Neurospora crassa OR74A: one gene and its partners. Each later gene encodes a partner of the first gene's protein in a complex. Links are inferred from orthologs where the notes say so. Each region holds a gene or a part of one and is shown in the gene's direction. Other genes may lie near its edges.

Region 1 (4,064 bases):
CTATGTCCAGGTTGACTCTCATGACTTTTACTCCACATCATCCTCGGCAATCACAGCTCCCTCCGGAGGCGTGAAGAGCTCAGTCCCATTTTGGGACTTCCAGGCGTTGGCGACATACTTTGTATGACTACCACGGGCACATAGCTCGCCCTTTTGGTTGCGGAAAGTGACGGTGGTGTAGGCAAGAGTCTTGCCCACTGTTTGGTTGTTGATGATGAAGGTTAGTCATGTCAATAATTCATGTTGCTGATGCAAAGGGGCAGGAAGAAAGACTTACTCTTGTCACACACAGCGGTCCCGGAAATCTTCTCGCCGACTTTCCCACCGCTACTAAGGTAGGTAACTGAGTTTTTTCATATACATTTTAGTATTGTGTGTTTGCGGAAAGCAGCACATAACTGGGCTGGAGTTCTTTTGTCCGAGTAGGCATGAATCAATCTCATGGAAGGAAGGAAACATACCGTTCAGATCCGTCGACACACCGGTGGCGTAGAGTCCTTTCGAGGCTACAGCCAGAGAACCACCAAGGTCAACCATGCTGGCGATGGTCCCGCCGTGGATGATCTTTAGACGGTTGGTGTGGTCTTTGGTGATGTCGAGTTCAAAGTCGACCTTGCCTTCGGTGGCACCGGTTACCCGGAGCTAGTTTGGTCATATCAGTTACATGTTCGTTGTATCCATGGAATTTTGTGGTGTCTTTTGCCTACATGAGGTCCGAGGAGTCTGTAAAATTTGGTCAGTCTCATGTCTTGATCTCTTCTTGACAGACCATGGTGATGTGTCATCACTTACCTCGGCTCAAGGCCGGACTCGGCCATGAACGACTTCAGGACCTAACATGCTGTAAGCAACCGAGTCAATGCAGCTGTGAAATGAGTTCCTGAACTAACCGATCTCACGAATCTCGCTGGTGGAAGCTTGGGTGCCATTTTTTTGTTGCTGTTGACCTCGAAATAGGAGACGATGTAAGAGGGATACACGAGGTGTGCTTCAGATGCGGTGTCTGGACTACCTCTAGGTGGACTTGGGGACGGAACACTGCTGTGAATGCCGGAAATCACCACCCGGGACAGGCGCTGTTACAGTGGCTTTAGAAGCAGACTGGCCGACCCGGGAGACGGTAGACAAATGCCGGACAGTGGAACGGTGACGTCGTAACAGGGACTGGTAGTGCCTGCCACGAGGGTCCGAAGTCCCCACTTATGCTTGGTGACCACCTGCAAGGGCACCACGGGGCAGGCAACCTATCCTCGCGCGCGTACAACGCAATGATCATCAACAGCCTTCAAGGTCTTCTTTTGCACCTTATGCCTTTCACCCACAAGTGCCACCGGCTACACCATTATCGCTCGATTCCCTGGGTACCTACCGAATAAACATATACTCGATTCATCATAAATCACACTTCCGTCGATATAACACTTTCCACCTAGAAGTTGGTTTTGGTCCCCATATCTGCCAGCAGAAGTCAACCAGTAGCATTACATCGTGATCCTCTCGACGAGCCATCTGGACTTGACGACATTCGAAGCACTACGTTTACCGAATATTCGACTTGACCTTTCACATTGCCATTCACATAGCGATAACGAATCTCTATTAGCGGCCCGCTGTGCCCGCCCGTCTATCCACCATGTCACTCGGCGGACAACAGCTCCTCGAGTACTTGGAGAAGCTGCCAGGTACAGCTTTTAGGAGACTGTACCAGTCACCAGCGACAGCTTTGGCCATCTTCCGCCGTATGCTGTCTTATCATGGTATGCAATTGTTCCTCGAGTCAGATACCGAAGTCTTGGACGCCGAATCTATAGCATGTAGCTAACTCCTTTGTCCCTCGATAGCCAAGGTTATTGTCCGAGGTCTACTGTACATGCCCGACCCATTCCCGTTAACCTCCCTTGACATATGGTTCCCTCCAGAGGGCGGCGGAAAGATACATCGCGATCGCACCATTGCCGCTCTCCGATCCCTCCACATCCTACAGGTCTCACCACCAAGCAAGGACCGAACCCAAGAAATCCAAATCACGGCGAGCTTCAAGAAAGGCCTACAACTAGCCTTCGAAGGGGGCGGCGAAGATGGCAGCTTTGGCGTCCCTAGTTCTCTTCCCGTCGATCCCTCCATCGACATCGCCTACCTGGACAGGTACGCTCGTAAGAAGTGGGACGACATCCTCCACTACGTTGTCAACAGTCTTGGGGTCCACGGCAGCTCAGAAGGGGTCAGCGGACCCAAGGCCAGTGTGAAGGAACTACTCTTGGCCGGACGCCTCGTCGAACGACGTCCAGACACCCGTACAGGAATCGGAATTACGCAAGCCGGTTTCACCTTCCTTCTCCAGGAGTCCAACGCCCAAGTATGGACGCTCCTCCTCCTCTGGCTCGAAGCAGCCGACCACACGGCCGACTCGGGCATGGACAGCATTGACATGCTCTCCTTCCTCTTCATGCTCAGCTCGCTTGAGCTTGGAACTGCCTACGATACTTCGGCCCTGACCGAGACGCGGCGGAATATGCTTCCCTCGCTCGTCGACTTCGGGCTCATCTACTTCCCGCGCGACACGCGCCAGTTTTTCCCTACCCGCCTGGCCACCACACTGACCAGTACCGCCTCGGCCCTGCGCACCGTCTCCTCGGCTTTCACGGCCGCAACCGCCAACCCCTCGGGCGAGCCCGGCACCACGACCAGCACCAGCGGCGGCCCCGCCGCCACCCCCGACAAAACACAGACAGCAGCCAAGGGCATCATCATCGAGACCAACTATCGTATCTACGCCTACACCACCTCCCCGCTACAAATCGCCGTCCTGGCTCTCTTCTGCCAGCTCAACATGCGTTTCCCCAACATGGTCTCGGGCCGCCTAACCCGCGACTCCATCCGCCAAGCAATCGGCTTCGGCATCACCGCCGACCAAATCATTTCCTACCTACACGCGCATGCTCATCAACAAATGGTGCGCGAAGCCACGGTCACGGGTAAACCGGTGCTTCCCCCGACGGTGGTGGACCAGATCAGGCTTTGGCAGCTGGAGAACGAAAGGATGCAGACCACGGCGGGCTTCTTGTTCAAGGACTTTGAGAGCACGGAGGAGTACGCGGCGCTGAGCAGGTATGCGGAGGAGATTGGCGTACTAGTGTGGAAGAATGATAAGAGGCAGCTCTTTTTTGCCAGCAAGCATGAGCAGTTGAGGGATTATTTGAAGAGTCGGAAGAAGGGGGAGTAAGAGGGGCAGGTTTGTAAGAGAGGGTGGTTTGGATTCGGGGGTGGTTCAGTATGGTTGGAATGAACCCAAGTACCTAGGTACCTCTTGTGGGTGGATGCAATGGGTAGGCGATGGGGTCTTGCATCGTAAAACTTTTACATCTGTGGGCAGGGCAGGATCAACATTTGCATTGAAAAAAGGAGTTCTGGCTTGGGTGGGTGGTTTGGCATCACGCAATTACTAGCTTATACTGTAGACAGGAGTTGGGGGTAAGAAAGGGCCATGTTCAAAATACGAGGTAATGGTCGCCTCGAAATAGGGATGACCTCTTACAAAACAAAGAACTCGATTTCATATGATCATACACATGCAAACCTCTTTTTGACATTCGATTGAGAACAACGCTTCAAGTCATCGGGAGACGTACTATACGAGACCGAAGAGATTGGAAAAAGGGTGCTCGAACAAAATCAGCCTGCTCACTGTGCTACACATCTTTGTGATATACACCTCTTGATACGCCATCCTAGCTGACAGGGCTCAATGACAGGAGTATTGGCGAGGGACTGATCATACTCGGCGGCAATTGCACCTGTACCGAAACTCAAAGTTTGATCATTGAAAGAAATGTCAATACAAGACTAACTACCATTTATTTGCGTTACCATTATGAGGTTCAAGGCATCAATGAATGCCAGAACTGCCCTCTACAACGCCGGACCTTTGCCTCTTACCCTGGGTATGTGAAGCGGTAAGATGAGGTCGGAAACCGAGAAAATACTCTATAGAGAAGTCCGACCATGCCTGTTACCATGAATATCTAGAGCGAAATGACTATGCTCTTGTTCTGTAGTCTCTTCCA
Region 2 (3,788 bases), on another chromosome or scaffold:
AAAGCAGTAGGGTTCAGAGACTTCACATCACAGGGTTCGTATGTTTGTGCCGAGCCTCCATTAACGCCGGTCCAGGGGTGACTCCATCGAGCTTCGGCACCGCGGCACCGTCATGTTGGACTATTGATTTATAGTTTCCTCCGGTGCGTCGGCATCTTGCTCGAGATGACCACCGGGAAGACTGTTTGTCATATTGCCGTTACTGGTCGAAACAAGCCAGCGTCCACTTTGTCCATAGAGAGACGACCGCATGAGTTCCACCTGGGCTCGGCATATTCATGAAGAACTAAGTTGCCGTCGTTCTGGAAGGTAAATTATTGTCTCGGAAGACAAGTTCGCTTTTCTGTTCTTTGATCTGGAAGAGCTACCGGGGTTATAATGTCGCCGGCCTTGAAAGATTCCTGTGTCTACTATGTATGAGTGAAGGGTGTTATAAGATCGGGAACTTGAACAACTTACCATAGGGGAATATTCGGTGGTGGTTACAGTGCTAGAGGTAGATAATCGGGAGTAATCAAGGCAGTTACATATTGCGAGAGCATGGAAAGAACAATGTCTTAAATTGAGCTTCAGTTTTGTCTATTCCTTACCTACCTGGCTGCCCCTTCCTTAGATACTTGTACTTCTCTTCCTCAAAACCTCACAATACCTATCGATGATAGTCTTGGCCATAGGCTTCCAACGTAAAGCTGTCGTCACCGGGGTAACCCCTAAGCCAATAAGAGCCCGACTACAGACCAAGGACACCTTGAATTGCACAGCCGGTGACTTTAAGCCACTCTCGGTTGACAGTCTTGCGCCATCCTTCTAAAGGAGATCCTCGTACGATATGTGAATAAACCGAAAAGGGAACATGTGATGGTGTGGATGGATCAAAGGAAAAAGATGACCTCGCTGTTGGTGTCAAAAGTTATGCACGCTTGCGTGTTCATCACCCGGCTGTTTTGGTGGTAATGCTGGGGTCGTTGAACTAGAATCGGACACAGCAGGAAGAGAAGAATAAGATGAGAGATGAAGGACATGTTCGGATGAAGGTGATATCATTGTACATAGAGGAGCTAGGATATCTTGACCAATAGGAAAGCGAGAACTGGACTACATCTGTATGTTTAACTGCATGTTAGTGCTCTAACTGCATATCTTTTGACCACTAAGGAAAATGCCGGCAATCTGCCTTATCGGGTATCACGTGGTAGCGTGTGCACTTGGACCAGGATCCTTTGGCCTTCACTTGGATCGCGTTTCGCTTGCAACCCCGAAATCGTTATCGCATTTCTCCGTTACGTTATCGCATCTGCAGTGTTCTCGACGAGAAGGTCTTCTTGGGCGCGTCAATCCTATTCAGCAGACATAACCAATCCAGACAACAACTATAACGAATATCACACAACAGAGCGCCCGCTTAGCTATCCTGCCATCTCTCGATCCAGCATCCAGACAAGCTCCCTACGAGCACCGGCGCACTGAGTATCGCGGCGACAAAAGGCCTACGTCATGTACACCAACTGGCTTCGATCCACGATATAGCTCTACAACACACACAACCTTGAAGCGAGTTGAGGCTGTCCCTGCCAGATCATCGTCAAGATGACGGTCCAGGACGCCGTCGACGCCTCCGAACACTACGAAATCTACAACACCGATGATATCCCCTCCCTTTATACCATAATCATCGACACCAACCCACGCGCCTGGGCCGCCCTGAACGATGTCCTCCCACTCACGAAAGCGCTCGCCAACATTCTAATATTTGTCAACTCCCACTTAGCCTTCAATAACTCCAACCAAGTAGCTCTCATAGCATCACACACGAACCGGGCAGTATGGCTCTACCCAACAGCACCCGACCAGAACCCCGGCCGACACCCGCAAAATCCAAACGAAGACATCGAAATGCGCGACGCCTCCTTCACAAGTAAACAACAATCTCCACCGCCCGCAAACAAATACCCCCTCTTCGCCCAAATCGAGCGCTCCCTCCTCTCCTCCCTGCGATCTCTCATAACCGACACCACAACCGAGGACATCACCTCTACAACCACCACCCAGATTTCCGGCGCCTTGACCCTCGCCCTCGCGCACATCAACAAAACCGCCCTCCTCTTCGCCCCCTCCAACTCCGCCACCGGCCCAACCCCCTCCTCCGCAGGCGGCAAGTCCTCCGTCTCCACAACCTCCGGCGCCGGCCCAGGCGGCGGCAACGCAGCCTCCCTCCCTGGCATCGGCGGTGGCGGCCTGGCAGGCCTGCACGCCCGCATCCTGGTGGTCAGCGTAAGCGACAGCTCCCCCTCGCAGTACATCCCTACCATGAATGCTGTGTTCGCGGCGGCGCACGCGCGCATTGCCATCGACACGCTGGCGCTGCGGGGTAGTGCAACGTTCTTGCAGCAGGCGAGCTATATTACGCGCGGCACGTTTATACGGGCGCAGGAGCCGAGGGGACTATTGCAGTACTTGATGTTTGGGTTTGGAAGCGGGAGCGCGCCACAGGGGTTGGCGGCGGCAGGGAACCAGCGGTCTCAGCAGCAGCATGGGGGACATAAGGGGAAAGAGGACAAGGCGAGCGAGAAGGCCCTTGGCGCCGCGGCCAAGGGAGGGGCCAAGCATGGAGGCCAGAAGTTTCTGGGGAGTAATGCTAGCGTGGCGGATCTGTTGGTCACCCCTAGTGCGGACTCGGTGGATTTCCGGGCGGCGTGTTTCTGTCATCGGAACGTGATTGATACGGGGTTTGTGTGCAGTATCTGCTTGAGCATTTTTTGCGAGGTGCCCGAGGGTGGGGAGTGTTTGACATGCGGCACCAAGTTAGCGTTGGGGAATTACGGGAGGAAGTTACCTGTGCTGCCTTCAAAGGCTGCTGCTCCTCCTGGAGGGGGGCAGGCGAATGGGAAAGGGACGATGCTGAAATAAGTCTTCAGCGAGGTATGGAATAGAGTGAAGAGGTAACTGATGGTGGATGATTCTTTTGTCCTGGGCCGGGGAACCAGGCAGTCAAGAGGCTGATTAGAGACTAGGGAGTGGTAAAGCCCACAAGATTGCTCGTGGGATGTCTACCGAAAGCGGACAAAAGGCTTGGAAAACTACATATACACATAGAGTCTGACATGCAGTGCTAATACCCATAAAACAGCTTTTATTGCGAATATCACTTTACTGGACATGGATTCCCACTATAGGATTCAGCCATCGATACCTGTTATTGGGGACATGTCTAGTCATTATCCATCGTTACATCATGCTCCCCCGACTCGCGTTCAACGTCCACCGTCCATTCATAACTCATCATCAGACTCAGTCTCACTCCCCTCATCTACTACAGCAGCAGGCTGAGACGCTCTCGTAGCCGTCGCCCCGGCCCTCTTAGTATGGGAAATGGGCGTTAGCGTCTCCTTTCCCTTTCCCTTTCCTACAACAGAAGCCGTCGTCTTTTTCTGAGGGGTTGTCGTCGCTGTCGAGGATGCCGCAGCCGTGCGTTGTCGTCTAGCAGGCGGCGGTGAAGGAGGCGGCGGCACATCAAGATCCTTGTCCCCTGCTTCTACAGTCCCATCATCCTCCTCATCGGGCTCACTGGCTGTTTCGTCATCGTCGTCGCGGTCTGGGGTGTTGCGGTCAGATGTCTTATTGAGGACCTCATCTTCGTCCTCGTCGTTATCAGTGACGTCCTCGTGATCGAGGGTTTTGCTAGAAGATGATTGTCCCATGGTGGTCGTCTTTGATGATGGTTCCGGCTCTGATTCTGGCTCAGGTTCCGGCTCGTCGACATCCATCTTTTCGAATTTTGCGTGGTCGTT
Region 3 (4,151 bases), on another chromosome or scaffold:
CCATAGCTTTAACATTGTGGAGCCGGCGAAACTGGGTGGAGCTACCCAGCTTCTCGCACTGGGAACAAATACATCGAAGACGCCCGGGACCCAACAAACTTGAAGGGGACATCAATGTGAGATTCTCTCGGTACCTCCATAGCCGCAAACTCGCCTACCTTCAGTTATTTACTGCTCAGTCTGCTACATACCCATACGTAGTAGCGTACACAATGGAATACACGAAGAGATATCATATCCATCATCTACTCGAATCCGTCCTCCCTCTTGTTGTTTGTCCAAAAGTCACGACGGAGTTCACGGTTCGAGCGGTGACCACGGTAACAGCAAGCATAACCGGAAGTCGTGGAGTTTCTGTGGTTTCAAGGAGGGGGACGGGAGCTGTGTCTCCATGACAAGTCATCGGGCACGCAGCAAACTGGGAAAGTGTGGAAGAGCTGGAAGTTACGGTCTGGAGAGTGCTACTGTAATTATTTCATTACGCATTGGCTCCCGCACCTCCCGTCGAGACTGGAGTTGGAGGCTCCGAGACCTGACCCGAGTCCCTTTTCCCCGGAAATCACGGTTCCCGTCTTTTTGGACCAAGTATCCAATCTTACCGTGGAAAGTGGGGAAAACTTCCATGTCCGAGGTGGAAATGTACGGTAACGCTTTCGGTCCCATCTTTGAGCGCGAACTTTTCGAAGCTTTCGCTTGGGGCATCGAACTGATGGAACTGCGCTAGACATGGTCTGGTCGGTATCCTGGGTTATGGGTTTGGGTTCAATTAGCTACTTGGCACTGACCGCCTTGTGACTTGCCGTAGTATCATGTGACTTTTGCAAAAGTCATTTATCAAATCCATTTTGTCAAAGAAGAGACAAGCGAACCGAGTCTAGATCTCGTCTCGATCTCGTCTCGAGTGGTTTATCGAAATGACTTTGAGGTTTGGCTGTTGGTTTCGATTGTGTAATTCACTACAAAATCCTGCATCGTCAGCTGCCACCTTCAACTTCTTCTTCATTATTGAGCCAGTTGCAGCATTGACTGCACGTCACAGTGTTAAATCCCCCAACTCTCATTGGCTGGCCGTGACTGGTTCGCTGCAGTGCAGTTGCTGTTGTCCAAGCTCTGCGCTGGCTTCAGATCCTTGGCATTTCCCACCCACGGCACCTGCAGCAGTTCGTCGCCCAGAGCTCAGGTCCTGTGGTGGCCAGAGATCCGACCTGGGTGGACAGCTGCCGTGACACTGTCTGTCGGTTCAAAGTGGAACCTTCCCGAGCTGAAACCTGAAGTTCAAGTTCTTTACACTAGTTGAACAGCCCCAGGGCGACCATGGAATTGTTAGTAGTCGTGCTCCACTGCAGCCTCAGCTGCCGCCTGCCTGCCTGCCACGCATAAACTACCTACTACACTATGTAAACTCACCACCCACTCACCATCCCGCAACGACATCCGCAGCAGCCAATGCCTCACCCCGGATTCAAGACTGACGGGACCTGGATTAGATTTGCTTGGCGTTACTACACTACATCACCACGTCCATCATCGTCTAATGCCGTGTACCTTGACGACTCTCCCGTCTCTCTTCGATATCAGTAAGGCGTAGTACACGAGCACGCTGTGACATACGTATCGCGTTAATACATCCTTGTCAAGGAACACATTGCGAGGCTGGTCCGTCTTTATAACATCAAAAGATTGGGAACTGGGCATTGAGCGTGGACTTGAGATATTCAACGGGCGGTTAGGGAGAGGACTACCTAGCCAACATGGCCCCGATTGAGATTCCCCGGGGACAGGCCTCTTACAAAAAAAGAGAGGGCATCATCACATTAACCCCAGACAAGACAGCCCTGATATGGAGCCCCTTGCCGGGCACTGGCCCACCCGTCATCTCACTTTCCGTATCCAACATCACAAACCTCCAACAGACCCCCAAGACGAATCCCAAGGTCGTCTTGAGAGTCGTCGAGAAACCCAAGGCGCCCGGAGCCGATCCGGCTGCCTATCCCTTCCAGTTCACACATGCCACCGAGGCCAGGAATGAGGCCGATGCCATCAAGGATCTTCTCTCTCAGATCATTGCTGAGCTTCGTGGCGATGACCCTTCTCTACCCAAGCCGGCAAAGTCTGGCCCCAACGGCGCCGGCGCCTCTGCCGCCATGGCCATGGCCAGTGCCGTGAACTCGAAGCATTTGCCGTTTCGCTGGTTCGAAGACGACATGCTAAAGGCCGATGTAGAACTTCAGCAGTCCCTCATGAAGAAGGATAAGGCCTTGGCCCATATATATAACGACGCAAAGCTGTCCAAGCCAGATTCATTATCAGATGCCTCCTTCAACAGCCAGTTCTGGGCCACCCGCATCAGCCTGCTACGTGCCTATGCCATCGAGCTGAACCAGAAGAAGGGCTCATATAACGTCCTATCAACCATCAAGCCCCGGACCGAGAACGGCGAGCTCAAGTTGAACATCAACCATGAGCAGGTCCAGCTCATCTTCCAACAACACCCACTGGTCAAGCGCATCTACAACGAGAACGTCCCCAAGCTCACAGAGTCCGAGTTCTGGTCCCGCTTCTTTCTCAGCCGTCTCTCCAAGAAGCTCCGCGGCGAGCGCATCACCGACAATGACAACACCGACCCCTTATTCGACAAGTATCTCGAAGCCGACAACACCATGGCAGTCCCAGCCAAGATCACCGCCACGAGTGTGCCCCCCATCATCAACATCGAAGGCAACGAAGAAAACCAAGGTGGCTTCAGGGGTGGCAACCTCAAAGACGTCGAGATGCGTCCGCGCGCCAACATCCCCATCATCAAAACGCTCAATTCGCTCTCCGAGAAAATCATGGCCAACGTCGCCCCCACAGACGTCGACCCCTCCGCCGCCTCCTACTCCAAAGACGGCATCGCCGACGCCCTATCCAAACAACTCGCCCTGCAAGACCTCCGTGGCGACGCCGAGGCCCAGCTGATCCGGCTTTCCGTCAAGGACACCTCCACCTTCTTCACAGGCAACCAGCCCTCGCTCACCGACCAAGAAGCCGCCGACGCGCGCCTCTACGCCACCCAAGTCCCCTCGGACGTGCTCTTCGAAGTGCAAGCGGACATGGACACTCTCGACTCGGACGGGCGCGGCGGCATCGATCTCCACCGGTCCATCGGGGTCGATCCCGACTCTGACGACGAGGGTAATAACTCTCTGGACTCTAAAAGCGGACCCAAGCCCCAACACGTCGGCTCCCGCGCTGCGCTACGGTTCGCCCAGAACCAGATCCTCGAGAGCATGAAGTCCGCTCGGTCGCACCTCACCACCACCACCACCCACGGTGGCTCGCACACCACCACCACCAATGCGTCCGAAGAACGACCCATGTCGTTGCCGACGGACATTGCCCACCGCGCTACGCTAACCTGCGCTACGACCGCCGAGTTCCTGAAACAGTTCTGGACGGTGTTTAATAACTCCAGCAACAGCAGCCCAGAAAAGCAGCAAGAATTGGCCTACCTGGCCGACTCGCTCGTGCGCTCGAAACAGAGAATCGAGGCGCTGGCTGACGAAGCGGAGAAGAGGAGACAGGAGATTATGGAGAAGCGGAAAAGGGAGATTAGAGAGTATTATCAAAAGACAGGCCGCAAGGCGAAGTGGGTTCCCGTTGGAGGGGGCAGGGATGCGGTGTGGGCGGCTTTTGAGGGCGTGGTGGGCGGGTTGGAGAGGGCTGTGGCGGTTTGGGAGATGGTTAAAAGTGGGAGGATCTGAAGATATGAGGAAAGACAGTGGCAGAGGTGCGTTGTTAGGGGATGGATGTTGTGCTGTGCTGTGTGGAAACGGGAGGAAGATGGGGAGGATGACTTTCATGAGAGGAGAAGTGATAGAGGAGGATGACATTTGGGAGCGTTGCCATGAACGAGAAAAAGTTTCAAGTATATATAGAGGACAGAAATGGCCCACAAGACAGTAAGGCTGGGATAATTTGGGTTAGGAGAAGGAGAAACAGACTGACTATAGTCACATTAGGAATTATGGCTGAAGACCAATGATGAAAAAAAGCATTAAGAAATTTTCAAGAAAGCAAACTGGTTCTGGACTGATGTGTGATATCTAAAACCAGACTCTTAACACTTTCCAAAACGAAGGTTCCGGTATTCTCAGATTACATCATGTAGA

The links. Proteins that work in one complex are often made in the same cells at the same time.
Region 2: NCU05523 (region 1) and NCU01580 share a complex: the UniProt entries of both Schizosaccharomyces pombe proteins name them as parts of the 7-subunit TFIIH core complex. The link is inferred for Neurospora crassa OR74A from reciprocal best matches to the Schizosaccharomyces pombe genes tfb2 and tfb4.
Region 3: NCU05523 (region 1) and NCU05423 share a complex: the UniProt entries of both Schizosaccharomyces pombe proteins name them as parts of the 7-subunit TFIIH core complex. The link is inferred for Neurospora crassa OR74A from reciprocal best matches to the Schizosaccharomyces pombe genes tfb2 and tfb1.

The regions. Positions count from the first base shown.
Region 1 is NC_026506.1:1,624,978-1,629,041, reverse strand, and holds NCU05523 (transcription factor tfb2), read left to right. Parts: upstream 1-1,285; 5' UTR 1,286-1,633; coding exon 1,634-1,757; intron 1,758-1,841; coding exon 1,842-3,223; 3' UTR 3,224-3,557; downstream 3,558-4,064. Other genes in the region: NCU05522 (PaaI thioesterase), read right to left, coding at 28-197, 278-343, 462-642, 708-723, 793-833, 891-929. UniProt on the Schizosaccharomyces pombe protein: Component of the general transcription and DNA repair factor IIH (TFIIH) core complex, which is involved in general and transcription-coupled nucleotide excision repair (NER) of damaged DNA and, when complexed to TFIIK, in RNA transcription by RNA polymerase II.
Region 2 is NC_026502.1:3,029,974-3,033,761, reverse strand, and holds NCU01580 (transcription factor TFIIH subunit Tfb4), read left to right. Parts: upstream 1-1,268; 5' UTR 1,269-1,587; coding exon 1,588-2,907; 3' UTR 2,908-3,269; downstream 3,270-3,788. Other genes in the region: NCU01581 (hypothetical protein), read right to left, coding at 3,270-3,788. UniProt on the Schizosaccharomyces pombe protein: Component of the general transcription and DNA repair factor IIH (TFIIH) core complex, which is involved in general and transcription-coupled nucleotide excision repair (NER) of damaged DNA and, when complexed to TFIIK, in RNA transcription by RNA polymerase II.
Region 3 is NC_026502.1:1,591,227-1,595,377, reverse strand, and holds NCU05423 (hypothetical protein), read left to right. Parts: upstream 1-1,351; 5' UTR 1,352-1,751; coding exon 1,752-3,743; 3' UTR 3,744-4,057; downstream 4,058-4,151. UniProt on the Schizosaccharomyces pombe protein: Component of the general transcription and DNA repair factor IIH (TFIIH) core complex, which is involved in general and transcription-coupled nucleotide excision repair (NER) of damaged DNA and, when complexed to TFIIK, in RNA transcription by RNA polymerase II.